3 linked regions of the Oryctolagus cuniculus genome follow. The main gene of each other region encodes a partner of the protein of the gene in region 3 in a complex. Links are inferred from orthologs where the notes say so. Each region holds a gene or a part of one and is shown on either strand. Other genes may lie near its edges. The genes, in order: SF3A3, DDX46 and HTATSF1.

Region 1 (10,003 bases), on a different chromosome or scaffold from region 3:
CCATCATCTGCTGCCTCCCAGGTACTTTAGCTAGAAGCTAATCAGAAGATCAGAAAGGTGGGGTGGCTGAGACTTGAACCAGACACTCTGGTATGGGATGTGGGCATCCCAAGTCAGGGCTTAATTCATGGCACCACAATGCCTACCCCCATGCATGGATTTCAAAATTTCTATGCGCCAAAATAAACTTATTTTTCATGTCATTTTCCCACGGATCTTTTGTAGTACCCTTGTATTTTCCTCCTATTCCTTTCCCTACTTTGTCTCTGAAATAAGAATCTTGGTCACACCAGGACTTTTTCTATCTCCTCCTACCCACCCTTTAGCTTCTTCAAAGACTAAAAAAATAAAAAACAAAAACCAAACAAACAAAAACAAACCCTAAGCTGGCGCCGCGGCTCAATAGGCTAATCCTCCACCTAGCAGCGCCGGCACACCGGGTTCTAGTCCTGATAGGGGCGCCAGGTTCTTTCCCGGTTGCCCCTCTTCCAGGCCAGCTCTCTGTTGTGGCCACGGAGTGCAGTGGAGGATGGCCCAAGTCCTTGGGCCCTGCACCCCATGGGAGACCAGGATAAGTACCTGGCTCCTGCCTTCGGACCAGCACGGTGCGCTGGTCACAGCGCGCCGGCCGTGGCGGCCATTGGAGGGTGAACCAACGGCAAAGGAAGACCTTTCTCTCTGTCTCTCTCTCTCTCACTGTCCACTCTGCCTGTCCACACACACACACACACACACACAACAAACCCCAAACACGGAGGAGTGCTGTACCACTAATTTTCTGGCCCAAGTTTGTCACAGTCTTCTGAATTTGTCACTAAGCCTCCTCACGGTGAGTCACATCTGAAACGCTACTGCCGTGAGCAGCCTTTCTGTCACCTGCCTCTGAGGACCTATTTGCTGGCTCACTGGTGTGATTCTGGAGGCCACACTGAGAGGGGAGTCTACTCTCGAGCCAGAGCCTTGCAAGAATGGATCAACCTTGGGGATATCACCTGACAGCAGAATAGAACTTTCTGAAGCGCCAAGGACCCCAAGAACCCTACTTTGTTCTCAATCAGTTTAATAGCATCCCCTTCCGAATCTGAAAAAAACATCCCGTTAGAGTTGCTCTCTCTCTTACTCCTATACTTTGTAGATTTACAACTCTCCAGAGTCAGTTACTCACCCCAAGGATTTCAACATATTCATAGATCTGCGCTTCCAGGAAAGCAATGTCTTTGTTCCTCTCAGTGTCTCTGAGAACAAGAAAAACTGGTATCACTCAAGGGTTCTTTCATTCAATGCTTTACTCTCTTTAACTGGGAATATCCATTCACAGCTATATTAAAAATTAGAAGCACATGAGAAATCTTACACTGTGAGAGCGCACTGTTCACCTCTGGACTCTCTCACAGGAACATTGAGGGTTTTTTTTTTTTTTTAATATTTATTTATTTATTTGAAAGTCAGAGTTACACAGAGAGAGGAGAGGCGGAGAAAAGGAGGGAGGGAGGGGGGGAGGGAGAGAGAGAGAGAAAGAGAGAGAGAAAGGTCTTCCATCCGCTGGTTCACTCCCCAGTTGGCTGCAACGGCCGGAGCTGCGCAGATCCACACCCATATGGGATGCTGGCACTGCAGGTGGCTGCTTTACCGGCTACACCACAGTGCCGGCCCCAAGGTTAGTTCTTGGAATTGGACCTCCTCTAGAAGGTGAGAGTCCTTCCAAGACCACTGAAGTTCCCACTATTCTAACGTACAAATGAACGAGGCGTAGAGGAGTGTGCTCTGCGGCAACGACTCTGCTACTTGGCTACTGTGAGGCAGTGGACAGACTCCACAACTATCCTTGAATCCTTATCTGCCAAAAATGAGAAACCACTGTAACACTGCTTTTCAGGGTTGCCGTGAGAATTAAAATATCCTAGGGTGGGCATCTGGTCCATCAACGAAGATGCTTTTTGGGATACTAGCATCCTATACCAGAGTGCCTGGGTTTGCCTATCAGCTCCCAACTGTACTTCTTACTGACAGAGACCCTAGGAGGCAGCGATGGTGACCTAAGTTCCTGCCACTCATGCAGGAGATCCAGATTCAGTTCCCAGCTCCTGGTGTTGCTCCCCTAGTCTTTGCAGGCAGCTGGGTAGTGAACCAGCAAGTGCGAGTTCTCTCTCTCTGGCTCTCAAAAAACAAAAAACCCTGTAGCTCAACTGTCTTTGTAAAAATAAACTATTTAGAGGGGCCAGCACTGTAGTGTACCACATTAGGCATCCTGTATCAGAGCAGTGGTTCGAGTTCTGGCTGCTCTACTTCCAATCCAGCTCCATGCTAATGAGTGTGGGAAAGCAGCAGAAGCCCAAGTGCTTGGTTCCCTGCCACCCACGTGGAAGACCTGGATGGAGTTGCAAGGTCCTGGCTTCAGCCTGGCCTAACAGTTGTGGCCATGTGGGGACTGAGTCAGCAGACAGAACATCTCTTTCTCTGTCTCTTCTTGTCACTCTGCTTTTCAAATAGAAAAGTTAATCTATAAACAAATAAACCTAGAAACATATTTTTGAACTTATTCAGTCTTATAGCCTTCAAAACCTATTCAGATAACACTAGTTCAACATCAAACTTCAGTGCTCTCAATTACGGGAGTATAGATTACACTTGGTTTCTACCAACAGTGGCAGTTCTCTGCCAATAGCAGAGATAAAGAGCACAATGGATCTCCATAAGCCAATTAAAGTAATGAAACAGGCTTTGAAATCCATTGCAAAAATTCTGCATGAGAATAAAATTTAAAATCCACATGTGAGCCGGCACTGCGGCTCACTAGGCTAATCCTGCGCCTTGCGGCACCGGTACACCGGGTTCTAGTCCCGGTAGGGGCGCCGGATTCTTTCCTGGTTGCCCCTCTTCCAGGCCAGCTCTCTGCTGTGGCCAGGGAAGTGCAGTGGAGGATGGCCCAAGTGCTTGGGCGCACCCCATGGGAGACCAGGATAAGTACCTGGCTCCTGCCATCGGATCAGCGCGGTGTGCCGGCCACAGAGCGCCGGCAGCGGTGGCCATTGGAGGGTGAACCAACAGCAAAGGAAGACCTTTCTCTCTGTCTCTCTCTCTCTCACTGTCCACTCTGCCTGTCAAAAAAATAAAAAATAAATAAATAATAAAAAAAAAAAATTCACACGCAAAGGCGCCATTTAGCCACTCACCGCTTGGTGCCCTTTGACTTGGGATTTTTGGCGAAGAGAGAGGTGTCAAGGGACTCCAGGGACTTTCCTTTGGTGCTAAACAGCCTCTGGGCTCGCTCTTCGAGAGTTCTAGAGACAGGAGGAACAAAGTATTACAGGGTTACTTCATACCATACATGCTTGCTTGTTTTTACAGTAAGTGATGATGGGAAAATATACAAAAAATACTTAGAAAATCACGTAAACATGTGCACACTAAGTAGGAGTTTCGATAGAAAAGTCATTCTCTTACCCACCACATTTCAGGCCTAAAGCTAAGAGGGCAGATTTCAGTCTGTCCAGACCCAAGGAGGCCAGCTCCTGCATAAATGAGAGAGACAGGTTCCAGTAACACAGAACTAGATTTTGGGCAACAACAAACGAAAGCTGGTGTGTGGGTGCTCCTGAAGTTGGCAGGGCCACGCAGCCCAGAGTCAATCTCCTTGAGGAAGTGCAAAGCCTCCACAAGACTGACTCTGTGGTCATGTCCAGACAGAACCATCTGGTAGTGTTCCATTCCTTCCACCACAACCTAATGTAGTTAGAATTAGTCCTTTTTGGGGCTGGCACTGTGGTGTAGCAGGTTAAGCCACCGCCTGCAATGCTGTCATCCCATATGGGTGCTGATTCAAGTCCTGGCTGCACCACTTCCAATCCAGCTCCCTGCTAATGTGCCTGGGAAAGCAGCGGAAGATCCCCCAAGTGCCTGGGCCCATGTGGGAGACCCAGAAAAATCTCCTGGCTTCAGCCTGGCCCAGACCCAGCTGTTGTGATCATTTGGGAAGTGAACCAGCACATGGATGAGTTCTCTGTCTCTCCCTCCCTCACCATAACTTCAAGTAAATAAGTAAATCTTAAAATTAAAAAAAAAAAAAAAAAAGATTGCAGCATAATTCACGATAGCTAAGATGTGAAATCAACCCAAATGTCCATCAACTGAAGAATGGATAAAGAAATTATGGGATATGTACACCTTGGAGTACTACACAGTGGTTAAAAAAAAAAAGGGAATCTTGTTTGCAACAAAATGGATGAAACTAGAATACATCATACTTAGTGAAATAAGCCAGTCCAATAGGACAAATACTGTATGTGCTCCCTGATAACTAACAGAGCACCTAAAAGGTAATCTATAGAAGTGAAATTGACACCTTGAGATACAATGACTTTGAACAGCCCTTGTCTCAACTGCTGAGGAACATTTTTTTCATACTATTCATTAAACTCTATACTAAGAGTTAATCGTACGTGTATAAAGTTAACTGAAAATAGATCTTAGTGGAAAATAAGAATGGGAATAGGAGAGTGAGAAGGAAGTGGGGTGGGTGTGTGGATGGGAGGGTGAGTATTCTGGGAAGAATCACTACGTTCCTAAAGTTGTACTTAGGAAATGCATGAGGTTTATATTCCCTAAATAAAGGTTTCTGGGGAGAAAAAAAATTACTTTCAAAGCTGTGAATTTATTTTTCTCTTTCCACATTCTCTGTTAACACCTGGTCCCAGAAAATGGTGCCCTAAGATAACGCGTCCATGGCATTAAAGCAGGAGAGTGTGTGGCTGTTTTCAAAGATGGACAGATCAGAGATGCTGCTGACAAAAACCTACCTCCCAGGAGGAGAATGCAGACAGGTCAAGATGGGCCCCAGCATGGGTCAGTGCGCTGCTTGTCTCTTTCTGGCAAGAACAATGATGTTTGTGAAAATCCAGGTTTAGGACCAGAGTAAGGGAGCTGTTTACATTAAAAGGTGTTGGTGGGTCCCTTTTTTATACACATTTATAAATAAGGAGCGAGTTTTTACACGAGCACAGAAAAAAACAGAAGGTACATTTTCTCCCTGATGGATCAGGCAACATCCCCAGGAGTGAAAACACCGATCATCATCACATAATTTAAATGAACTTTGGTCAGCAGGGCTCAGTCAACGGCAAATGGGCCCTGACAAACCTTGTTCCAACGTACACAGAGCAAACCGAGCACACCTGGTAGGAACAACGCCTCACGGCCACAACTGATACCAACAACATCCTAATGCCCTGGGTGGAGGTAGGGAATACTTTTTCTGCCAAGAGCCATCTGGATATTTATAACATCATTCTCAAGCCATCCAAAATCATCAACTTAAAAATTAGCCTGTTATAGAACTTCAAGTTCCACCCGCTGCTGCCTTGGCAGGGCCAGATCAAATGATTTTGTGGGCCTCATACAGCCCATGGGCTGGATTTTCCCCACTCCTGCCCTAAGCAGACACTCAAGATTAAAGGAAAATAAACCCAAACCCCACTGGAGCTCACCGGCCAACCAGGAAAGGTACCATTCTCCCACTTCTTCTCAAACTCAGTCTGAATCTTTCCAAAGAGTTCATTCTGATCTTGGAGGGGCTTCACGCGATCTGTGTAATCCTGAAGGTACTCAAGCAGCATCTCCAGATATCTGACACCACAGACAGCAAACAGTTCTGTTTTCAATACATCGCTATGCTCTCTGTAGTATACTTACAATTCTAATAGTGCTAGTTACTAAAGTAATAACTCATTTTTAAGTTTACAATTGACGTTCCCCCACCGTATCATTTTGATTGATTTTTCCTACCTGCTTTCATCCTTGTGACATAATGTCAAGCACTAAAGTCTTAATTAACTCTTACAGAAAAGATTGCAGGTAAAAAGAAAAACACAGGGAGCTAAGGATGCAGGCTCACTAAGCGGTGGCATAATTAGCATAAATGTAACTTTTCATTTATACAGCAGACCCAGGCCCCTCACTTAAGCCACAATCTGAGAAATTTTTCTTCTCTAAACTCCAAAAACCGAAGTTTCTGAGTGAGAGACTTCCTTCTACAATAAGACAAAATCAACAACAGTACGGGCGTGAAATCGGATGTGCCCACAGACACATGCTTGCCCAAAGTCAGTGTACCACAAATTCTTTAAAACTGTATCATTTACAACCCTAACCTGCAATAAATCTGGAAACCATTCACGTTTGCCTTTCCAGCAGAATTCAGAACGCTTCCCTTGAACCTTCACAGTATCTTCTAATACAATCAAGTAGAGCCCTGGCAGCTACTAACGCTTACCTCTTATACTCCGCATTCTTCCTTTCTTTAGGAATGTCAAATAACTGGTCAAAAATAGACAGGTATGTGATATAATCCAGCTTCTGCAAAGAGGGGGAAAATGGAAAGAGATTCAATTAAGTATTTGCATCAAACTGATGTAATCTTCAGTAAGTGAGATCAAAATTGAGTACTTTCTAAGAAAGTAACAAGAGTTGGCTATTTTAGTCTCCCCCCTACCTCCACCATGGATCAGTCCCCAATATTAGAGATATTTCCACTGGACTCAGTGGAAGGCCAGCAGACACACCACAACTCTACAATGTCAAGATCAAGTTAATGATCTGAAAAGGGGAATTTTTGGAACACTGCACGCCAGAATCTTGGCTGAAGACTTTAACAACCACTACATCCTAAAATAAGGTGCTGAAAGGTACTACTTGTTCATTCATGCACTCATTGAGCATCTTTGTGCCAAGCATGGGGGATGCAGAAGATAACAAGACAGGGTCTGCCATCACAGAACTTAAAGTTGTCACGCACTGTGGGGACATTTCCTCAGAATTTCTTGAGGGAGGAACTTAATCATACTCCTATGTATGGATCACAAAAAATTTTATCCCAAAATAACCTTTCTTTTAATTCCATTTTCCACAAATTATTTGAAGTAAACTTATATACCTCCTTGTGAACTGAGATGGTCATAGTAATCATCTGTTTGCATGAGTAATTTTAAAATATCTTTTAGAAAAGACATTAAACGGGCTGGTGCTGTGGCGTAGTGGGTAAAACCACCACCTGCACTGCCAGCATCCCATATGGCTGCATTTCAAGTCCCAGCTGCTCCACTTCTCATCCAGCTCTCTGCTATGGCCTGGGAAAGCAGAAGATGGCCCAAGTGCTTGGGCTCCTGCACCCACGTGGGAGACCTAAAGAAGCTCCTGGCTGCTGGCTTGAGATCGGCCCAGCTCTGGCCATTGCAGCCATTTGGGGAGTGAACCATAAGGTGGCAGAACTCTGTCAGTAACTCTGCCTTTCAAATAAATTAATAGTAAAAAAAAAGACATTAAATAGCCCTCTGCCAGCAGAGATCATGCTGCTGTATTTTCCACGCACTTAGTATCATGTGTGCCTATCACTAGTATTGTGTGTGCTTCATTCAAGAATGTGATATGTATTTCTGAGTTTATGAAAAGTTTAGTTTTACAAAGAAAACAATGTTTTCTGTATTAAAAAATAAATACACTTAGTGTGTAGAAATTATTGTAGAAATCTTTCATTCTGAATGCTGCTTCATTCCAGAAAGCAGGCCGCCGCTTTGCTGTTTCTAAGCCACTGTAACGTGAGGCGTCCAGTGTTCCCACAGTCCTGACCTCTGCTCCAGAAGCAGAACCTCAGCGCCCGCAGGCCTTACCTCAGACGCCTTCAGGTTAATGTACTTGAGGTAACAGTCATGGAGGTCCAGGTAGCGACCGTATCCCTCTTCATCCGTGAACTCCACCAAATCTGAAGGAATCAGAAAAGGCCAACGCCACTGCAGCTCACTTGCTTGTACGACTTTTCAGATGGACTGCTTCACTCCCAGTTCCAGGAGGCTACCCTTTACCCCCATGTCCTCCTCTCTGCTCACGGAGTGAACACACCTCAGCTTTCCAGGCCACTGAATTCAAGCTACCCTAGCACAAATGGACATGTATTTTGTTCATGGCCAGCTCAGGATATCAATCTCAGCGAGAAATCAGTAAAGGGAAAACCAGCAAAAATAACTGGCTACCAACTTCTCTAGGGCCCCGTGGAGCCGGAGAGCAATGCTGAACTCCACTTACTCTGTGCCTCTTCACTTGGATTCTCTCGAGCCTTCAGGAGCTCCTCAAATTCCACTGACATTGGCACACAGATCTGAGGAAAAGAGAAGTCAGGGGGATTTTTCAATGTAAAAGTGGCAATGTCACAGAAATGGGGTACAAAGAAGGTTCAACTTCTCCCACGCGGCCATCTTCCGCTGGTTTCTCAAGTGCGTCAGCAGGGTGCTGGATGGGAAGTGGAGCATCTGGAACCCAAACCAGCACTCATATGGATGCCAGCATCATAGGCGGCAACTTAACCTGCTGTGCCACAACCTGGCTCCAGAAAGTTCAACTTCTGGTGCTTTATCCGGGGTTTTTCACTAGGAGCCTACCCTAAGTACTCCAATTTCTGTCTAATCCTCTTTGCACTACTTGACTAAAAAACTGTTAAATCAACACATGCTCACAAAAGTGAAATACAAGAAGAGAAAATCAAAGTCCCTCTTCAGGGGCTGGCATCTTGGTGCGGGAAGTTAAGCTGCGGCTTGCGCTGCTGGCATCCTATCCCGTATCAGAGCACTGGACGGAGTCTGGCTACTCTGTTTCTGATCCAGCTCCCTGCTAATGAACCTGGGAAGGCAGCGGGAGATGGCTCAAATTCTTGGGCCCCTGCCACCCATGTGGGAGACCTGGAGGGAGCTTTTGGACCCCAACTTTGGCTTGGCCTAAAACTGGCGGTTGTGGTCATCTGGGGAGGGAGCTAGTGGATGGAGGATCTCTGTCTCTCCTTCTGTGTGGCACTGCCTTTCAAATAAATAAATCTTTTTTAAAAAATGCGTTTGTACAAGGATATTAATGCCTGTGTGACATCTTCAGCATCCTCGCAATCACTTGTTTAGCACTTACGCCTGGAATCTGGTTAGTACAGCAGGACGGTAATCATGTCTTCTCTGTCAGCGCAACACCTCATGCTCCATCCTCCGAGGGAGGGAACCCAGACGTACACGTGAGTACCTTCATCTGCTGCCACAGTTCCACGAGCTGCCTCTCCATTCTGGTACTGTCTCTTCCTTTTCCCACGTGCTCCTTGAAGTTCGTGTACCTCCCCTATCTCCTCACGTCCCTCCAGCTTCTCCTCTTCTTCCTTTCAAACGCACGCTCCACAGACCATACTCGTATTCCCCCGTGACTGCACCATGACAATCTCCATTCCCACTACTTCAACAAACAGCAGTGCTGGCCGTTCCGGGTCAGCATCAGCCGCTGCTTGGACTGCCTTTCTGAAACTCTACCATTAGCCGCTGTCATCTGACCTTGTTCCTGCCGTCTCGCCAGGCTCCTGCCCGGCTAACTGCGTTATTTTAGGTGTGTTCCAAAGCACACGGAGCAGCTTTGACTGTCTGGCTTCCCATTCTGTCTCTCCCAGAACTCCGTGGTAAACAGTGTCCATCATCAAGTCCAGGGGGTGATTAAAGCCTCTACCTCGGGCATGAAGCCCAGTCACCAAACTCCAACTGTTTACTTTTAAACATTACTGAAAGAGCCACACGTGGAAAACCTTTTTTCTAATGCAAATCGTTACTTCCTCCTTCCTTATTTCCACCTAGAGAACAACGTTCCAATTACACCGCTGACAACTCCGAGTGATCTTTATTCACCCTTCTCTTCCCTCCTTGAAGCCACGTGGTTACCCACTCCTGCCCGTGCCCGCCTGACAACTCCTCTGGTCAGCTGTGCGAAGTGCGGAAAGGTCCTGGATGCTCAGACATAACCTGTTCCTTCCAATCATATGGTGCAGCAGGACATTCGCTGTCACAAAATAACGATTACAGAAAGATGGTGGGGGAGGCCAGGAAAGATTTCCTGAGAGTTGGCCTCTGTGTTGAATTCTGAATTTCGAAGTGACTCAAGTATCTTGGTGTTAGTTGGATCCTCCAGGTCAGGGGTGGGGAACCTTTGTTCTGACAAG
Region 2 (10,003 bases), on a different chromosome or scaffold from region 3:
CTCTCCTAACCACTTATAATTTAGTGGTAATAAGTAAATGGGATTTTTTTCTCGTCCAAAATAGAGACTGTGTACCCATGAAAGAGCTTCCCTTTCTACTCCCCATCCACACTGTAGCCTCGAATCTCACAGCCTCTGGGAATCTGGGAATCAGTGTACCTGGCTCGTACATCGGGCTTATTTCTCTTGGCGTAATGTGTCTAAGTTCATTTGTGTTGTGGAATTTTCTTTATAAGGCTGAATTGTACTCCCTTATATATCTCTGCCTCATTTTGTTTATCCATTTATCTGTTCCTGGATGCTCGGATTTTTTTTTTTAAGTTTTATTTTATTTATTTGAAAGACAGAGTTACAGAGAGAGACAGAAAGATCTTCCATCTGCTGGTTTACTCTCCAAATGGCCGCAACCACTGGAGCTGGTCCAGTCCGAAGCCAGGAGTCAGGAGCTTCTTCTTGGTTTCCCACGTCGGTGTAGGGGCCCAAGGACTTGAGCCATCTTCCGCTGCTTGCTTAGGCACATTAGCAGGGAACTGGATTGTAAATGGAGCAACCAGGATTTGAACCAGCACTTTATGGGATGACAGCACTGCAGGCCAGGGCTTTAACCTGCTGTGCCACAGCGCTGGTCCCACTTAGATTTTTTTCACTTTTTAAAGTTTTATTTGAGAGACCAGCAAGACACAGCACTAATTTGCATGTTTAATTCCTAAATACCCACAGTGGCGAGGACTGGGCCTATCCAAAGTAGGAAGCCAGGAAGTCAGTTCAGGTCTCTCAGGTGCTGGGCAGGGCCCCATTTACTTGTACCAACCCTGGTGCCTCCTGAGGTCTGCCTTAGCAGGAAGGTGGAATCGGGAGCTGGAGCTCAGTCCCGTATAAGGCACTGCCGTATGGGACTGAGCCAAGTCTCCAGAGTACTGACGGGCCGGCCGAGCACCCCGCCTGGTGTCGGCTTTTGATTATCACCAGTTGGGCTGTGAACATGGATGCAGAAACACCTGCTGAGTTCCTGTCCCCAGTTCTTTGGGTGTGTGTGTAGTGGTAGGATTGCTGGGTCAATATTGTGTCTTTAAATGCTCCTTTTAATGTTTATGTTTGAATTTCACTTGTAGAGTTCAGTAAGAATTGCTGATGGATGTTTAAGAGTAAAGAGAGCTATAGGCATAGTTTGTAAATAGCGGTTTTATTTGTTTACTGCTTGTGTGAATGTTGGTAATGAGAGTAAATTAAGGGTGCGCTTTTAGCTCCCTCCTGATGTTTCATAATTGAGGAGAGACGCTTTTCCCTTCCATATCAGATTTTCTGTTAGTAAATTGGAAGGTTTTGGACTTTTATATTATAGGAATATCGAATTTTGGTCCATTTTCTGTGAAAATTACTAAGAGTGGTTTAATTAGATGAATGCATTCTGTCTATAAGTGGTCTTAATTATGTGAAAAAGATTATACTGTGTTGATTTAATAGAGGTGCTTTTTTTCCTAAAGGTAATTGAGGAGAAAATTAAAAACATAGTTTAACAGAGAAACTCTTTAAAACAAACCTATTTTCATTTTAAAAAAAAGATTTCTTTATTTGAAAGGCAGATCTAGAGGGAGTGAGAGAAAGAGAGGTCTTCTGTTTGCTGGTTCACTCACTGAATGGCTGCAGCGGCTAGAGCTGGGCCAGGCTGAAGCCAGGAGCCAGGAGCTTCTTCCAGGTCTCCAGTGTGTGTGCAGCAGCCCAAGCACTTGGGCTATTGTCTGCTGCTTTCCCAGGCACATTAGCCAGGAGCTGGATCAGAAGTAGAGCAGCAGGGACTTGAACCCGTGCCCATATAGGATGCTGGACCCACAGGCGGTGGCTTCACCTGCGTAACCTGCTACGGCGCTGGCCCTTCATTTCTTTGAAAGGCAGAGAGAAAGAATCTCAGATTCTCTGGTTTACTTCCTGGATGTTCACACCTGGCAGATCTAGTCTAGGCCAAAACCACATGCCTGGAACTCAGTCTGAGTTTTCTGTGTGTGAGCCAGGTACCCAAATGAGCCATTGCCTAATGCAAGGTGCTCATCAGCAGGAAGCTGGACTACAAGTGGAAGTGGGACGTGGTCTCATGCTCTGTTGTGGAGTGTGACTTCACTGTTATACTAGACGACAGACTTTTTAGTTCTTCTAGCAGTGTAGCTATAAAATCTAATACTGGAGACCAATTTTTAAGGTGCAGTTCATTTTTTTTCCCTTTTCGGTGAATTGATTTGTAGGCCATTGGCTTTTTTTTTTTTTTTTTTTTTTTGACAGGCAGAGTGGACAGTGAGAGAGAGAGAGAGAAAGGTCTTCCTTTTGCCGTTGGTTCACCCTCCAATGGCTGCCGTGGCCGGCGCGCTGCGGCCGGCGTACCGCGCTGATCCGATGGCAGGAGCCAGGAGCCAGGTGCTTTTCCTGGTCTCCCATGGGGTGCAGGGCCCAAGCACCCGGGCCATCCTCCACTGCACTCCCTGGCCACAGCAGAGGGCTGGCCTGGAAGAGGGGCAACCGGGACAGAATCCGGCGCCCCGACCGGGACTAGAACCCGGTGTGCCGGCGCCGCTAGGCGGAGGATTAGCCTAGTGAGCCGCGGTGCCGGCTGGCTTTTTTTCATTCATCAGTATTCTTGTTATTCAGAAGGAATCCACTGCTTTCCATAAATGTGAGAACTTCGAAGTGTAAGCATCCGAACTGCAGTGTGCCTGGCATGGAGGGGTGGGAGAGGGCTAGCAGGGTGGGCGTGGCGTCAGTCTGGCAGAACACCCGTGCGAGGACAGTGTGTTTTGGTATTTCAGATGATGAAGATGATGCTGCAGAAGCTGAGAAGGACGGGAATGAAGTGGAGGGTGAGGAGTTGGACCCGCTCGACGCTTACATGGAGGAGGTGAAGGAGGAAGTGAAGAAGTTTAACATGAGAAGTGTGAAAGGTGGCGGGGGAAATGAGAAGGTACGCTCTTCTCTGCATGTGAACTCTGTGCTTTCTGTTTCTTTCCCTTCTCAGAGCTGGCAGTACTGTTTCTCGGTGCCAGAGACACCGAGATTAGGTGTGAAATGTTCTTCAGCAGGCCACTTTGCCCTCCATACTGTGTTTGTGCAATGTCTTTCCTTGCTCATTATTTCTCAGTACGTCCTCTACAGACTTCTCCAACACTTTCCATTTTTTAAAAAATGATTTTAGCTATTTATTTGATAGGTAGAGTTATAGACAGTGAGAGGGAGAGACAGAGAGAGAGGTCTTTGATCCCCTGGTTAATCCCCAAATGGCCGCAGTGGCCGGAGCTGAGCCAGACCAAATCCAGGAGTCAGGAGCTTCCTCTGGGTCTCCCACGTGGGTGAAGAGGGTCTAAGGACTTGGGCCATCTTCCACTGCCTTCCCAGGTCACAACAGAGCTGAATTGGAAGAGGAGCAGCTGAGACTCAAACTGGCACCCATATTGGATGCCAGTGCCACAGACAGACAGAGGATTAACCTACTGTGCCACAGTGCTGGCCCTTAGCACTTTACTTTTTCAAGTTTTCATACTTGACTCTTGTCATCCTGTTCTGGCTTTTTTTTTTTTTTTTTTTTTTTCTTTTTTAAGATTTATTTATTTGGAAGTCAGTTATAGAGATAGTGGACGAGACAGAGAGAGAGAGAGAGAGAGAGAGACAGAGATTTTCCATCTGGTTCACTTCCCAGATAGTTGAAACAGCCAAGACTAGACCATGCTGATGCCAAGAGCAAGGAGCTTCATTTCGGTCTCCCATGACGGTGGCAGTAGTTCAGGCACTTGGGCCATCTTTTGTTGCTTTTCCCAAGACTTATCAGGGAGCTGGATTGGAAGTGGAGCTGCCAGGACTCCAACCATTGACTCTCTTTTTCTTTTCTTTCTTTCTTTTTTTTTTTTTAAATGAGATTTTATTTGTTTACTGGAGAAGTAGAGTTGCATACAGAGGGAGAGACAGAAAGAAAGGTCTTCCATCTATCTACTGGTTCACTCCCCAAATGGCAGCAATGGCCAGAACTGGGCTGATCCAAAGCTAGGAGCCATGCTGGTGCAGAGGCCCAAGCACTTGGGCCATTTTCCAGTGCTTTTTCAGGCCATATCAGCTGGATTGGAGGAGGAGCAGGTGGGACTAGAACCGGTGCCCATATGGGATGCTGGCACCACAAAGCAGAGGCTTAGCCCACTCTGCCATGGTGCCGCCCCTTCCCCCTTTTCATTTTAAATAGCATTTATTTATTGCCTCTTAACATTATAAAATTTTGATTTTTTTAAAAAATATTTATTTATTTATTTGAAAGGCAGAGTTATAGAGAAAAGGAGGGATTGACAGAGAGAGAGGTCTTATTGGCTGGTGTACTCCCCAAATGGCTGCAGTGGCCAGTTGGACTGGTCCAAAGCCAGGAGCCAGCAGCTGCTTCTGGGTCTCCCAAGTGGGTGCAGGGCCTTGACCATGCTCTGTTGCATCCCAGGCACATTAACAGGGAGCTGGATTGTAAGTGGAGCAGTTGGGACTTGAACTGGTGCCCATATGGAATGTTCCCATTGCAGATGGCTTTACCCACTATGCCACAGCACCGGCCCCATCATTATACAATTAAAATTTTTTTTGCATTTACTCTTTGTGCTTTTCCCCTTCTAAAATACAATTTCCCAAAGGCTGTGAGCACTAATGTTTTGCTTATTTATTCATCTGAACTCTTAGAATAGTGCCTGATTTGTTTCATGAGTGAAAAATAGTCTATATATAATCATTTTATAAAACTGTATTATGCAACAAACTATATTTGAATCCATTATAAAATACAATGTATTTCATTTAAACTTCTATGCTAAGGAGCACAGCAGAGTCTTCTCTATGATTAAAGGATCACAATGAAGTTGATTTGAATCATAAGCTGTGACTGTTATTGTGCTTCGTTTGGCATGTGAGTTCTGTTTCAGTTTTGCAAACTTGTATCTTCCCTTTCGATTTTAGAAGTCTGGACCCACGGTCACAAAAGTCGTCACTGTTGTGACAACCAAGAAAGCAGTCGTGGACGCTGATAAGAAGAAGGGGGAGCTGATGGAGAACGACCAGGATGCCATGGAGGTGATTCCTGGTTCGGGGACTTTGTGATCCTGTCCTTGGAGGGTGTGCAGTCAGTTCTGCAGATTGCCACTGGAAGGGACTCCTGCTGTTCTTAGCCGTGCAGTAGTTCTGTTGTTAAAGAGACCACTGGTGAACCTTTCTGAATCTTTCACTCTCTCCTTCTCCCACCCCACCCACCTCACCCCAGGAGTCGAATATAAAGGGAAGTGAAATGGCAGTGAGTTTTACATTTCTTCCACTAACATGCTGTGAAGGTTTATGTAATAAGTGAGAGCAGTAGGACAAGCTCATTAAAGCCATCTCTGAGAATGGTTTTTGCTTTATATTGGCATTGTAAGTTTCTGTAAGGGCAGAGAAAAAAGAAATTGAAAAATTCCTCAGAACCTGGTACTTCATTCATAAAAACTGACTTCATTTTAGGTCAGTTTGAAATTAGGAGTTTTAAGTTTTTTGGAGCAGCACAGAAGTACAGGCCAAGTCATCTATTTTAGAAAGCAAAAAAATAAAAGCTGTCGAGTGGTGTCTGGAAGAAGAGACTTTTAAACACTAGGACTGTTACTTCTCGTAAGAGGTAGAGTACTGAACCTGAACTCTCTGTTTTAAACTATAGTATTCTTCAGAGGAAGAAGAAGTTGATCTACAGACGGCCCTTACAGGCTATCAGACAAAACAGAGGAAACTGCTGGAACCCGTTGATCATGGAAAAATTGAATATGAACCATTTAGAAAAAACTTCTATGTTGAAGTTCCAGAACTAGCAAAAATGTCTCAAGAGGGTAAAATTCTTTTATTTATGTGTTGGTTGCAGTGGCAACAAAAGAGGATTTGTCTTACTTTGTCCTGGATAAACGGGGTGGGCTGTGAGTTAAAGGGGCGTGTGTTGGGGATTATTAGAAAAGTGAGCAATAATGACTTCAGCTTATGCATCTGGTATTTTTAGCATTGAAAATACTAATGTGAGGTTAAAAATATTTCTGTGAGTCCTTACCTTCGGAGATTTGAGTTAGCAGCTTTAGCTATTGTGTGTTATTGGTTGGATAGAGATAGTGAGGCAACTCTTGCTAGGAGGGTAAGTGGTTTGAGTTACCGTTCACTATTCTTTAAGATTTATTTATTTGAAAGTCAGGATTATGGAAAGAAAGGGAGAGATCAATTAAGAGATTTTCCATCTGCTGGTTCACTTGCCAGATGATTGCAACAGCCAGGGCTGGGTCAGACTAAAGCCAGGAGTTTTATGTGGTTCTCCCACATGGGGCTCAAACACTTGGGCCATCTTCTACTGCTTTACCAGGCCATTAGCAGGGAGCTGGATTGGAAGTTGAGCAGCTGGGACGCAAACTGGTTCCCATTTGGGATGCTGGCATTCCAGGTCGTGGCTTTATCTGCTATGCCACAGTGCTGGCGACATTGCCTTTTTGTGCTGTTAAAAAACCAAAAACTAATTGTTGAAGTCTGGGTTTTTATTTTTGATTTTTATTTTCAGTTAATTATGACGGTAATCGCTTTAACTATCTAAATCTTTTGATGCTTTCTCCTGTATCTTTGATAATATTAAAAAAAAATTATCGATATGAAAATATCTTTGATAATATTAAAAAAGAAAGGAGTTAGAATTCTTGATTGTCCCATTCCTAACTGAAAAGAAGACACCAACAAACAGTATTTAAGGGTTTTTAATCTGGGTTTTGCTTTGCAGAGGTGAATGTATTTCGATTGGAAATGGAAGGTATTACAGTCAAAGGAAAAGGTTGTCCCAAACCAATTAAATCTTGGGTCCAATGTGGAATTTCCATGAAGATCTTAAATTCCCTCAAAAAGTAAGTGGTGATGATTGTGTATATTTTGCCGTGTGTTGGTACTCAAAATAGTCCTTTCACACAAATAACTTCCTGTGTTGTGTTTTTACTCTAATAGAAAAGCTTTTTTTTTTTTTTAAACTTTTATCTAGTAAATATAAATTTCCAAAGTACAGTTTATGGATTACAATGGCTCCCCCCCTCCCATAACTTCCCTCCCACCCGCAACCCACCCATCTCCCGCTCCCTCTCCCATTCCATTCACATCAAGATTCATTTTCATTATCTTTATATACAGAAGATCAATTTAGTATATATTAAGTAAAGATTTCGTCAGTTTGCACCCACACAGAGAAAAGCTCTTTTTCTTAAATGTTTTCATGTACTTCAAGAAGTTGGTAGAAAATGGAATTAGATGATAAGGCACAATTTCCATGACCATTCTGAAGTACTGTTGAATAATTTACATATCATGAAATTTAACTCTTAAGGTCTGTAATTCAGTGTTAGATTTATGGAGTTGTGCAGCCATCACCATAATGTAATTTTAGAGCTTTTTTTTTTTTCATTCTGAAATGAACCTGTGTCTATTAGTGGTCATTCTTCTCCCATTTCCACCACCCTGTACTGCTATCTATAGAACTGGCTATTCTAGACCTTTTATAAAAATGGGGTTATGCAGTATGTAGTCATTGGTGTGTGTTTTTTCATTTAGCATGATAATATCTTGAAGATTCATCTGTGTTGTAAAATGTCCTAGTTCTTATTTCCTGTTTATTGCCAAATAATATTTTGTTGTATGGATTAGTCACATTTTGGAAGAGCTTATTCTTAACATCTCTCAGGAACTCGGAGTCCTCAGTTCTTACCTGCTTTTCCTTTGGTTTTTCTTTTCAGGCATGGCTATGAAAAGCCCACACCTATCCAAACCCAAGCAATTCCTGCCATAATGTCTGGACGAGATTTGATTGGCATTGCCAAAACAGGAAGTGGAAAGACCATTGCTTTTCTGTTGCCCATGTTCAGACACATCATGGATCAGAGGTCCTTAGAAGAAGGAGAGGGGCCAATAGGTACAATACTTCTCATTAAACTTTTAAAGGATTAACAGCTTTGTTGTCAGTTAATCAGAAGGACATGATGTCTTATCATTTCTTAACTATGACAATAAAGATATCTCTGTGTCCATATCCTTTTTCAATATGGCACTTTGGGGCTGATTTCCCCTTACCAGCAGGTGGAGTGAGACTTTCGGAGCTCTGGAGTGACATCTCAGAAGTACAAAAACAGCCTCTCCGGCACAGCTCAGTTTTTATGCTCTGACTCAGCAGGTAGCCCCTCGTGCATCTGTCTGTTTATCTGCGTTGAGGTTTGTTCTAGCCGAGTGTCGGTGGATGTGCTGAGAACTAGGCAGATGTGATTTCCGAGTTTTCTTGGTAACGGCCTTAAGGCTGCAGTGCCAGCATTTGCTCCAGCATTAGGCCTTCTGATTCCTATTTCTTGATTCATTTGGGCATCTTCTGCAAATGTAAGTGGAGTTCTGGAAAGTTGTCCAGCCCCTCTCTTGGAAATACAGGGCACAGTATTTTTCTCCTCTGTCTGTGCCCCTCAGACCAAGGTTGTTTCCGGAAGCAGCGGTATGGCTTCTGCAGCACAGTGAGTCACTTGATTTTCTTTGATTTGCAGTTGAGAACTATTTGCATTCTGTTCAACCAACCATTTTCCCAAGGGTTGAGTGTGGCATTTAAGTCTCATTTATTTTCCTGTAGCATGTTCCTAAAATCTACCAACACTTACCCTTCACCACAACCTCTGCTGTTTTAAAGTTTTTGAAATAGAGCTTTCAGAGGTTCATAAAACAAATACAAATAAAAATTAGACTGAGAGATCTAACAGTTGAAAGCACAGCCTCTCAAGAATTTTGATGGTTAGGGATTTGACATATTTATCTTTTCAGCTGTCATCATGACTCCGACTCGAGAATTGGCTTTGCAAATCACTAAAGAATGTAAGAAGTTTTCAAAGACCTTGGGACTTCGAGTGGTGTGTGTTTATGGAGGAACAGGAATCAGTGAGCAGGTAGGTATTTATAAATGAAACGTTCAAGTTCTTGTTCTTTTCTCAAATTGAATGATCAGTAAACGGAGTGATCTTGAATTTTAGTGTTTCAACTAGTGATTGCCTCTAAAATCTTAAAACATACTCAGTGTGCAAACAATTGTAGAATTGGATTAGGTTATGATGGATACATACTTTCTGGAGATTGTAGACAATCGAGACAATAGTTAATAATAGTGTCATATATTTAAAACTTACTAAGAGAGTAGATCTTTAATATGTCTGCCTAAAAGAAAAAATGCTAGCTGTGCGGTGATGTTAGCTAGCCTGATTGGGGTGCTGATTTCACAATGTGTGTGTATTGGAACGTCACATTGTGTGGCACCTTTGCAGCACAGTGGGTTAGGCTGCTACTTGGGATGCCCTTAGCCCATATACAAATGCTGGTTTGACTTCCAACTACTCTATTTTTTTTAAAAAATCATTTTAATTTTTTAAAAGATTTGTTTATTTGAAAGGCAGAGTTACAGAGAGAGGTAGAGACAGAGACGGGGAAAAATCTTCCATTCACTGATTAACTCCCCAAATGACTAAAATGGCTGGATCTAGGCTGATCAGAAGCCCACAGCTTATTCTGGGTCTCCCATGTAGATACAGAGGCCCAAGTGCTTGGGCCATCTTCCGCTGCTTTCCCAGAAACATTAGCGGGGAGTTGGATCAAAAGTGGAATAATTGGGACTCAAACTGACACCCACATGGGATGCCGGCGTTGCAGGTGGAGGCTTTACCTGCAGTGTCACAAAGCCAGCCACCTCCACTTACCCGCTATCCCCTGTTTTTAAGATTTACTTATATGAAAGAGTTACCGAAAGAGGGAGAGACACAGAGAGAGATTTTCTGATTGACTTCCTAGAGGTCATAATGACCAGGGCTTGGCCAGGGTAAAACTAGGAGCCAGGCGCTTTATCCAGGGTCTCCCACGTGAGTGGCAGGGCCCTAGTTGGATGACCTAGCAGGGAACTGGATTGGAAATGAAGGAACTGTGACATGAAACAGAGCCTACATGGGATGCC
Region 3 (10,391 bases):
AAAATTATATTTATAAGTAGGGAAATCCAGAGTCTTCCAAGTGTAATTTCAGAAGCCTCAGATTTGTGAAAATGAGTAGGACTTTGTATTTTTTATTTTGAATCTAATTTTAGTAAATGCATACCTAGTTGCTTATTTTTGCATTTTGAGAGAACTTCAGGGCAGGAGTGCCATTTTTGTTTTTGTAGTTCTTTGCACTTCTTCCTTAGTTGCTGAGAAAAAAAAACTCTGTAAGAAAGATAGATACATTTAAGTGCTTCCCAGAAAGTGTAAGTTGACTTAAATAGAAATTCATAGAAGGATATCTTCTATTTGTATGTAGTTGAAATTCAGGTTGATTTTCTTTTTCTGTCTTTTTCAGGCATTGAGGATTGGAGAAAAATTTGTTAATTTCTACAGGGAATCTTTTTTTTAACTTTTATTTAATAAATATAAATTTCCAAAGTACAGCTTTTGGATTACAGTGGCTTTTACCCCCCATAACTTCCCCCCCACCTGCAGCCCTCCCATCTCCCGCTCCCTTTCCCATTCCATTCACATCAAGATTCATTTTCAATTTAGTATATCAATTTAGTATATATTAAGTAAAGATTCCAACAGTTTGCACCCACACAGAAGCACAAAGTGTAAAGTACTGTTTGAGTACTAGTTATAGCATTAATTCATATTGTACAACACTTTAGGGACAGAGATCCTACATGGGGAGTACAGTGGCTCCTGTTGTTGATTGAACAATTGACACTCTTGTTTATGGCGTCAGTAATCACCCTAGGCTCTTGTCATGAGTTGCCAAGGCTATGGAAGCCTTTTGAGTTCACAGACTCTGATCTTATTTAGACAAGGTCATAGTGAAAGTGGAAGTTCTCTCCTCCCTTCAGAGAAAGGTACCTCCTCTTTTGATGGCCTGTTCTTTCTACTGGAATCTCACTCACAGAGATCTTTCATTTAGGTCTTTTTTTTTTTTTCTGAGTGTCTTGGCTTTCCATGCTTAAAATACTCTCATGGGCTCTTCAGCCATATCCAAATGCCTTATGGGCTGATTCTGAGGCCAGAGTGCTGTTTAGGACATCTGCCATTCTATGAGTCTGCTGTGTATCCCGCTTCCCATGTTGGATTGTTCTCTCCCTTTTAATTCTATCTGTTAGTATTAGCAGACACTAGTCTTGTTTTGATCCCTTTGACTCTTAATCCTATGTTATGATCAATTGTGAACTGAAACTGATCACTTTGACTAGTGATACCTTGGTACATGCCACCTTGATGGGATTGAATTGAAATCCCTAAGGAAAATCTTTAAACCTCTTGTTATGGGGAGGAAAGTCTACCTGAATTTAAAGCTACTAGAAACAGTAGTGCTTGGATGTTCTTATTAGAGTTGTTCATAGTTGCAAGAAAGCAACAGCAAGAATGTATGTTATTGTCTGTTTAACATCGGGTAGTGCAATGTGGTAGGAGACAAGATGAACAGGAATGCTCATAAGATTTACCCTGTGATTTAAAATAGACTCTTAGAAGCCTGAAAATCAATTATAGAATACTTAGTCATTGAAAAGGCTATGTTTCTCTGCATTCTAACGTTTCTGCAAGTATGAATCTATCCAAAACACAAAACAAAAGGCTCTCATCACTTCCATTGTGATGGCCATAGACAACATAGGAACTAGCAGTCGTTACTCATGTTCCACACTTCTGCCATCACAGTTGATGTAGATTTGGAATTGCCATTGATACTTCTCTTGGCTTTCCCTTACCACTGTACACCCCTTCTGCCATCTGCCATATTTGTCTATTTCTTCTATCTTAAAGCGGGACATATTGTCGTAGTAACAGTGGCTCAAGTAGTCTAGCTTCATTTGATTTTGTTGTTGTTAATTTTATAAACTGTAGACAAGCATAACCAACCTTAAGCAAAATGCTTTTTTATTCAGTTAGTAAGAACAAGATATTTTTCAGGATTTATAGTTAAAGAAGTGAGCAAAAATTCATTTTAATCATTTGTATTTTTGCAGGATGATCCTTTGGTGTTGAATGAGATAAGAGAAGACCTTCGAGTAGAGTGTTCAAAGTTTGGACAAATTAAGAAGCTCCTTCTCTTTGATGTAAGTTCATGGCTTGGACAAATGAATCCTAGATCAGTCATTCTTCCCACTGAATAAGTGGTGACCAGACATTTAGATGCCCATGAATTTTAGATGAATATTTTTATATAGACGACCTGCTATCTTGTGTTAGTGTTTAGTTAGTAATAATTAGATAAACATAGATTGCAAGTCAAAGCTTTGATAGATTTGGTTATTCCTTGTTCATTTTTCTTCATCATCACTCTATAATATTTGATCAGGAAAATAAAGTACAAGAAAAATGTATGAGACCTTATGATTCCCTGTTTGCCTGCCTTTCTCCCTCTCTGGGAATTATTCTCTCCCTGCATATTTGAAACAATCAGGAGAGATAATTCTTCTTTATGTTTCCCCTTTGTATCCTTTTTGTGCTTCCAAAATTAAAGCATAATAATTAAAAGTCACCATTGCTTGTGTACTACATGGTGTGATACATGTTATCCCATTAAATTCTCATAACCCTTGGAGGTATATAGGCATTATTCCACCCATTTTCTGGATGAGGGAGCTAAAATGTTAGAGATTGAGCACTTTGTCCAAGGTCATTCAGCTGGTAACTAACAAAGCCAGGATTTCATTCCAGGGCTATCTGGCTTCAGAGTTTACACTCTTAACGGTTATACTTTCTTGCCTCGCATTAGACAGTGTTGTCAGCAAAAGCATTTCCAAGGACATTGCTTGGTTCTTGCTAGATAAGACTAAGCTAAAGAAGCAGCTGGCTGCATTTTACAAGCTGTGATCAAAGAGAAGAAATAATACATAAAGTCATTTAGCTTAAAGTAGCAAAGAGAACGCTACTCCCTACCTACTGTGTCACATGCTTGTATGTCTTATGTTTTTATCTTATCATTTGTTCCTTTTTTTTCCTTGTTGTCTTTCTAGAGGCACCCAGATGGTGTAGCCTCTGTGTCCTTTAGGGATCCAGAGGAAGCTGATTATTGCATTCAAACCCTTGATGGAAGGTGGTTTGGTGGCCGTCAAATCACTGCTGAAGCATGGGATGGGACTACAGATTATCAGGTAAATTCTGCAGCTGTCAAGGGCACATCCATTGCATCATCACTAACAAGTACTAATACAGCAGCCCTTCACATTTAGGTTTTAGGTTCCGTTTTATCTGTTTAATGTAGCAATACTTATTTTAAATACTATTTTGCATCTGAAGGTTAGTAAGAGAAATATTTCAGTCTTCCAGTTTATGAGTCTGAAATTTTGAGGCTGGCTTAGGATAGTGTAAGAAAAGAAGACATTGAGCCAAAATGTTTCTCTTCCTTTCTATGTCATAAAGTACAGTTGGAGCTAAAATATTAACTTTTGAAAAGGTGAGAAATTGCTACAGTACTGTGGTGGTTTCATTTATTTAAATGATCTTATTTATGGTAAACTCTGGTAAATCATGATGTAAAGTTTTTTAAAATTAATTGATTAACTAGTTCGACAGGGAGAGAGAGAGAGATCCCCCATCCTCCAGTTCACTCCCCCAAATGTCTGCAATAGCCAGGGCTAGGCCAGGCCAAAGCCAGGATCCTGGAACTGCAACTGGGTCTCTCATGTGGATGGTGGTTGGAACCCAAGTACTTGGGCCCTGGTGGATGTTAGCAGGAAGGTGGATTGGAAACAGAAGCAGAACTTGATCCCAGGCACTCCGGTATGGGATGTGAGCATCCCAACTGGCAACTTAATGCACTACCACAACACTTGCCCCAAGATGGAAATTTTTGAAAATTTAAGATGGAATTGTTTTAATTTCTGAAGAAGAGGTACCATTGATCAATATTAGAAATGCCCAGAGAGGTTACTTCTTTTTGCCTAAAAGTTTTTTTTTAATGACAGTTTCTATTTATCCACAGGTGGAGGAGACCTCCAGAGAAAGGGAGGAAAGGCTGAGAGGATGGGAGGCTTTCCTCAATGCTCCAGAGGCCAACAGAGGCCTTCAGCGATCAGATTCTGTTGTTGCAACAGAAAGGGCAGGGCCTTCTAGAGTAAGGCACTTTTCAGAGCACCCTGGCACATCTGAAATGAATGCTGAAGATTCCGCAACTGAAATGGCGCTTGAAGAACCTATTGATGAGAAGTTTGAAAAGGCAGAAGATGGGGGAGGCTTTGAAGAAGATGCTTCTGGAAATGATGCTAAAGAAGGTGGCCCCAAAAAAGAGGCCAAAGAAGAAGAATGTGAAGAGAACTGCCCTGAAGGAGAGTCTGAAGGAGACTGCCCTGAGAGAGATTGTGAAGAAGGCTGCCCTGAGAAAGAGTCCGAAGAAGGCAGCCCTGGACAAGAGTTGGAAGAGGGGACTCCTAAAAAGGAGTTGAAAGAGAATGGCTCTAAAAGAGAAAGAGAATCTCCAAAGAAGAGATTCAAAAGTGATTATGAAGAGAATGGCTTTGTGAAGGAGTCCAAGCAAGATGACCCCAACAAGGATTCTGAAGAGGAGGGTGGCCCCAAAAAGGAGTCTGAAGGGGATGACTCAGAGAGAGAATCTGAGGAAGAACACTCAGAAAAACTGTCTGAAGATGGCTCTGAAAAAGAATTTGAAGGAAACGGTGTTGAAAGAGATTTTGACGAAGATGGCTCTGATCAGGAATCTCATGGAAATGTTCTTGAAAATGAGTTAGAAGAAAATGATACAGACAGATCTGAATATGATGAGGGCTCTGAGAGAGTGTTAGATGAGGAAGGCTCAGAGAGAGAGTTTGATGAAGATTCAGAGGAGAAGGAAGAAGGGGAAGATCCATATGAAAAAGTTTTCGAAGATGAGTCTGATGAGAAAGAGGATGAAGAAGCAGATGAAAAGGGGCCTGAAGATGCTGACGAAAAGGAGGAAGAAGCCAATGCAGATGAAAAGTTCTTTGAAGATTCTGATGAAAAGGAAGAGGAAGAAGATGCAGATATGAAGGCAGGTGATGAGGTAGAGGAGAAGTTATTCGAAGATGATGATTCCAATGAGAAGTTATTTGACGAGGAGGAGAATTCCAATGAGAAGTTGTTTGACGATTCTGATGAGAAAGGGACTTTGGGTGGTTTTGAGAATGCTAAGGAAGAAGGGCCCCTGTCCACAGGCAGCAGCTTTGTCCTCAGTAGTGATGATGATGATGATATTTGATCCCTTAAACTTGCTTCTTAGGGAGAGTCCTTCATCTCCATTTGCCTGTGCTTCAGGGTCATTACTAGTAGTGTTATATGAACATGTGCATAGTGGTAGGCTGCCATCATACTAATGCATTGGAGTTTTTTTCATTGTTACCTGTGCCTAATGATTTTAAATGTGTTCTTTGGCTGTTCAGTTAAAACTTCAGTTATGATGCAAGTAAACTGGATATTTGTCCTTTTGTCAGATTTGTTAAATGCATGCAGAATAATATTTTTAAAAGTATTCTGATTGAAGTTTGTGATATTAAAAAAATAAAAATAAGTTGAATTATGCAAAAACTGAAAATTGTACTTTGAGTTACACTGGATTTGGAGTTCCTGCTATTGCTTTATTCATACTAAAGGTTGGTTTTTCTAAGGACTTGAAAAATCCTGCTGGAGTCTCTCTCTCTCAGCTTGTGTTAACCGCTACAGCCCCATTTTCTTTCTCTAAACTGGAACCTGTTGCTAAGCCCATAAAGGAAATAACACTCGGGATTTTTTCATAGCCCAGTCCTTGCAGGTTACCTTTTATTTGTTTTCTACCTTTTTGTTATTAAAATTAACTGTTAGATATACACAAATGATCTTACTGGAAGTATAGGGAAGGAGATTAGAATTCTACCCTACACTGTTTCTTGACCCTTTTGTGTTTCTTTAGAAGTTGATTACAGTTTTGGGACTTACAGGAAAATGTACACATACACACTACACAGCTGCTTGTGTACTATTTGGGGAGGTTCATGGATCCTCTGAACTTAAGTACCTTTATCTTGCACACTTCAGTTTGCTTTCATTTTTGTTTTAGAATCTCGGTGCCTAGCATTACACAGAGTTGTGTCATCCCAATAAAATTGTGAATCTTTCTTCATTATATCCAAATTCAGAATTGATGCATTTAATTTGTAGCACTCAGAAGTTTTCTTATAAAACAGAAAATAAATTGTGTCGGTGTTCTTTCATCATAGTGTCTGTAAGTGTAATCATTACCCTATTTAGAAAAGGGCTTCTATACTTCAAGGTCATTTGTCTTAACAACTTTTTAGATGTTCTCTGGGGATTTCTTAAAATCCTCAGGATTTTCACCAGGGATAAGTCTGTAAGTAGTTAAAAGAAACTAGTTTAAGAAGTTAAAAAGAAAAATTGCATACCACATAGTGTTCCCTTTAAAGATAATCAAGAAGCATTTGAACATTTATTGGAGAATTGATTTCCTAAATGAAAAGAATATTTACACAGTGATTAGGATACATAGCTGATAACAAATTAAGGTCATTGTAAGGAAGGCATTTCCATCTACATGAAAATGCACTCTTGGGAATCCAGAATCTGTCAAAAGATAATGGGTACATCTAGTCTGTTCAGATATTAACCATTGTTTAGTAAAGATTCCACCATTTGGGGATGGAAAATACATTAAGGATGTAGTAAACTTTGCTTGGGAACTGCACTAAAAACATTGCTGACCCTGGCATGCTACCATCTCCTGTGTAAACACACATTCTATGCGTGTGTGGAAAGAGGCTTCAGTTATGGGAGGCTGCCCTCACATCTTGACCTCTTTTCTCCTGCTCTTTAATTTGGTTGATATTAAATACTCATGTTCTTTTCATATAAACACTCAAAGAAGACACCAAAGAACTATAAAGTGGTAAATAAGACATGATAGAAATTAAGTCATGAGGCACACAGACCCACATGATTATGAATTAGGTTTTATATTGGTTCTGAAAACTATTGTAAAGCAACAATACATACTGTTATCAAAAGGGAATAAATTTTGGGAGGTGGCTTCCAAGTACAGAAATGCTGGAAACTTATCTGATAGAATTTCTAAATTTAATGCTCACTAGGCTATTTAATTTACACAAAATATTGAATAATGCATTCAACCATAAATTCATGAACCAGAAGTTGATTTCTGGCATGCCTTAAATGGTGTGAATGCTTTGTTTTCTGAGTCTATGAGTACCTTGTATGAGTACAAATGTGAAACTTCACATTAGATATTTTTTAAAAAAAATACTGGTCTTGGCAATATTACTGAAATGCTGAAATCATTATTGCTTTCTACAACAGAAACTTTAACAAGGCAAAATTGGAATAGTTTTTGTTAAGTATGTCTCTTTTCCTTTGCAAGTAGTAACTCTCCTTGTCACCCTGGGGAGCCAATGCAGTCCATTTGGAAGTCATTACCTCTTCCTTTTCAGAATGTAATCTATTTCCCTAATGTAAATTGGTTATTTCTGAGGCCCTGAGAGAAGATAGGAATTAGCTAATATTAAGCATTTCCCAAATAATAAGATGAATCACATTTTTTAAAGCCAAACATTTTCATGTAATGCAAAGAAGTGCTCTTAATTAATTTGAACAAATCCATGGCTTAGAGAATAGAGAGAGGCTTGTAAATGTGCCGTTCATGAATATTGTCAATATTCTTTTAAATAAAGATTTCTATCTGAAAGAATGAGAACCACAGAGTTCTTCCATTTGCTAGTTCACTCCCCCAAATGATTGCAATGACTGAGGCTGGGTCAGGCTGAAGCCAGGAGCCAAAGACTTTATCTGGGTCTCCCACATGAGTGGCAGGGGCACTTTGATCATCTTCTACTGCCTTCCCATGCATATTAGCAAAGGGCTGGCTCAGAAATGGAGCCACCAGGACTGTAACCTTACCAGCAATGTGAGATGGGATGCCAGCATCGCAGATGGTGGCTTAACCCACTGTGCCACAACCTGGCCTCTGTTGTCAATATTCCTATGGATTGTTTTTTCCCTATAAAGTTTCAGATGCATGCCTGTTTTTATATGCTCACTTCAATTCATTTGAAATGAGCTGGTTTGGAGCCAGAATTATGGCTCCTTGCTAATGTGCCTGGGAGGGCAGCTGAAGATGGTCCTTGCCATCTACGTGGTAGAGAAGGAAGGAAATCCTGGCTCCTAGCTCCTGTCTTCTACCTGGCCAACTGCCTGATGTGGCCACTTAGGGAATGAACCCATTTTTCTCTGTCTCTTCCTTTCTCTCTCTCATTCTGCCTTTGAAATAAGCAAAAATGTATCTAAAAATGAAATTTTAAAAATCAGTTGGCTGAAGAGATGTTTGCTTCTTACCACATCTCATGTTACATGACTGGCTTTGTTTATAACTAAGTAAAAAACTTCTTGATACAAGAAAAAAAAAGTTCAACTTATTCCTTTCCAAAATCACAAGTTGATATTGCAAATAGCCTAAATTCTTGGATACCAGTTGGCACATAAAACGACTACATAGCAGAAATACTTCATCATGTAAAGTTGACATTTGGTTGTTTGGAATTTTATAGGTTTATTTTACCAAGGTTTTTAAAGCAAGGAAATACTGATGTTATGGTGTTTAAGATGCATTACCATCAGAAAGCATAAACAGATTGTCTTGTGTTCATATTTTAGTTATCTGCAGAACTTAAAGACTGTAATGTTAATATACAGTGTTCATCCCAGGCTAGATTACAGAAAGCTAGGATAGCAGCAGCAGTATGAAAGTATGGCTTTTTTGCTGCCTGTCTTCTGCTTTCTGCACTGCTTCTTAGTTTCTGCTGAAACAGTAATGATAATATTAGAAGAGCCAAGCTCAGAATAAAACAGCTTTTAAAAAATTTCTATTTATTTGAAAAGCAGAGGAGGAGAGGGAGAGAGAGACTTCAGTATGCTAGTTCACTTCCCAAATGGCCACAACAGCATGGGTTATGCCAGGCCGAAGCTGGAAGCTAGGAACTCCATCCAGGTCTCCCATAGGATGTCCTATTCCATGGATGGGCAGAGGCTCAAGGACTTGTGCCATCCTCTGTTACCTTCTCAGGTGCCTTAGCAGAAAGCTGGATTGGAAACAGAGTAGGCAGGACTTGAACTGGTGCTCATATGTGGTATACTATCCTCCTGAGTGACAACTTAATCCACTGCACTATAACAGAATAAAACTGCCCCCCCCAGAATAAAACATCTTTTAATTTACCATTTTCCAGGTTTATCCTTGAAATTAAACAAGCAATATTTGTAAAGCTACATCTTAATGTAAAATTTCCATATTTAACTAAACATGTATGTCTGAATTTAATATTTAAAAATATGGTTATCTTTACTTCTTTTCCCAAAAGCAACTTTATGCTACCTTGTAAATTAAAAAGCACATGCTTCAGTTTTTATGTGATTCTTAAGTAGTTACAGATTAGAATTAATAAAAATGTGTACAGCATTTCAGTGCTTCTGATAATCACCTTAGTGGAAACCTTGATTATCTCATTGACATTCTGTTAGACTATTGATCTAGTGTATTCACACTCACTCTAAAATCTTTGAATAATTTGATTTAGTCATTTAGCAGGCCTATGTTGGGCTAGTGTGTGCCCAATTATATGCTAGATGAGATGTAGCAGTGAACAATATAAAAGCATGGACCCTCCTTCAATGACCGGTGTAATGCCTGTGTTGAAAGACACAGCTGAAAAACAATGTGACATTGATCCAACAAGACCAATTCTAGAGCCTGGAACAGTATCAGCACATAGGAGTTCAGCAAATATTTGTTAAGTGGATTCATTTATCCTGATTCATGTGAAGCAGTTCATTGGCTACACCTACCTTGTCAGTCTTCTCCCAGTCTTACCACCTCTGCACAACTGTTCAAACCAAAAAATCTTGCCTCCTTTATCTCTTATATTCAAGCCCTATTGACTGTAACTCCAAATATATCCAGACTCTGAATACTTTTCCCCATCTCCGCTCCCATCACCTTGGTACAAACTATCACCTCTCACCTGCTTGCCTGAAAGAACATTCAAGCTGTACTGCCTATTTGCACTTTTGTACTATTCCAAGAAATTTTTAAAAGTATTTATTTGAAAGGCAAAATGACACAGAGAGAAGGAGAGACAGAAAGAGATCTTCCATCTGCTGGTTCACTCCCCAAATGGCTGCAATGGATGGGGCTGGGCCAGGCTGAAGCCAGGAATCTGGAACTCCAACTGGGTCTCCCACATTGCTGGTAGGGGCCCAAGCACCTGGGCCATCTTCTGCTACTTCCCCAGGTGCATAAGCAGGAAGCTGGATTGGAGGTGGAGCAGCTGGGACTTAAACCAGTACCTCCAATATGGGATGCTGGAATCGCA

The links.
Region 1: HTATSF1 (region 3) and SF3A3 share a complex: the UniProt entries of both Homo sapiens proteins name them as parts of the 17S U2 SnRNP complex. The link is inferred for Oryctolagus cuniculus from reciprocal best matches to the Homo sapiens genes HTATSF1 and SF3A3.
Region 2: HTATSF1 (region 3) and DDX46 share a complex: the UniProt entries of both Homo sapiens proteins name them as parts of the 17S U2 SnRNP complex. The link is inferred for Oryctolagus cuniculus from reciprocal best matches to the Homo sapiens genes HTATSF1 and DDX46.

The regions. Positions count from the first base shown.
Region 1 is NC_091438.1:134,819,890-134,829,892, reverse strand, and holds part of SF3A3 (splicing factor 3A subunit 3), read right to left. Parts: intron 8,147-10,003; coding exon 8,074-8,146; intron 7,754-8,073; coding exon 7,662-7,753; intron 6,352-7,661; coding exon 6,269-6,351; intron 5,623-6,268; coding exon 5,484-5,622; intron 4,866-5,483; coding exon 4,797-4,865; intron 3,513-4,796; coding exon 3,445-3,512; intron 3,282-3,444; coding exon 3,174-3,281; intron 1,236-3,173; coding exon 1,166-1,235; intron 1-1,165. UniProt on the Homo sapiens protein: Component of the 17S U2 SnRNP complex of the spliceosome, a large ribonucleoprotein complex that removes introns from transcribed pre-mRNAs.
Region 2 is NC_091437.1:22,993,673-23,003,675, forward strand, and holds part of DDX46 (probable ATP-dependent RNA helicase DDX46), read left to right. Parts: intron 1-2,795; coding exon 2,796-2,947; intron 2,948-4,962; coding exon 4,963-5,076; intron 5,077-5,686; coding exon 5,687-5,852; intron 5,853-6,772; coding exon 6,773-6,893; intron 6,894-7,769; coding exon 7,770-7,945; intron 7,946-8,829; coding exon 8,830-8,951; intron 8,952-10,003. UniProt on the Homo sapiens protein: Component of the 17S U2 SnRNP complex of the spliceosome, a large ribonucleoprotein complex that removes introns from transcribed pre-mRNAs.
Region 3 is NC_091453.1:114,308,838-114,319,228, forward strand, and holds the end of HTATSF1 (17S U2 SnRNP complex component HTATSF1), read left to right. Parts: intron 1-2,009; coding exon 2,010-2,099; intron 2,100-3,002; coding exon 3,003-3,140; intron 3,141-3,970; coding exon 3,971-5,221; 3' UTR 5,222-6,209; downstream 6,210-10,391. UniProt on the Homo sapiens protein: Component of the 17S U2 SnRNP complex of the spliceosome, a large ribonucleoprotein complex that removes introns from transcribed pre-mRNAs.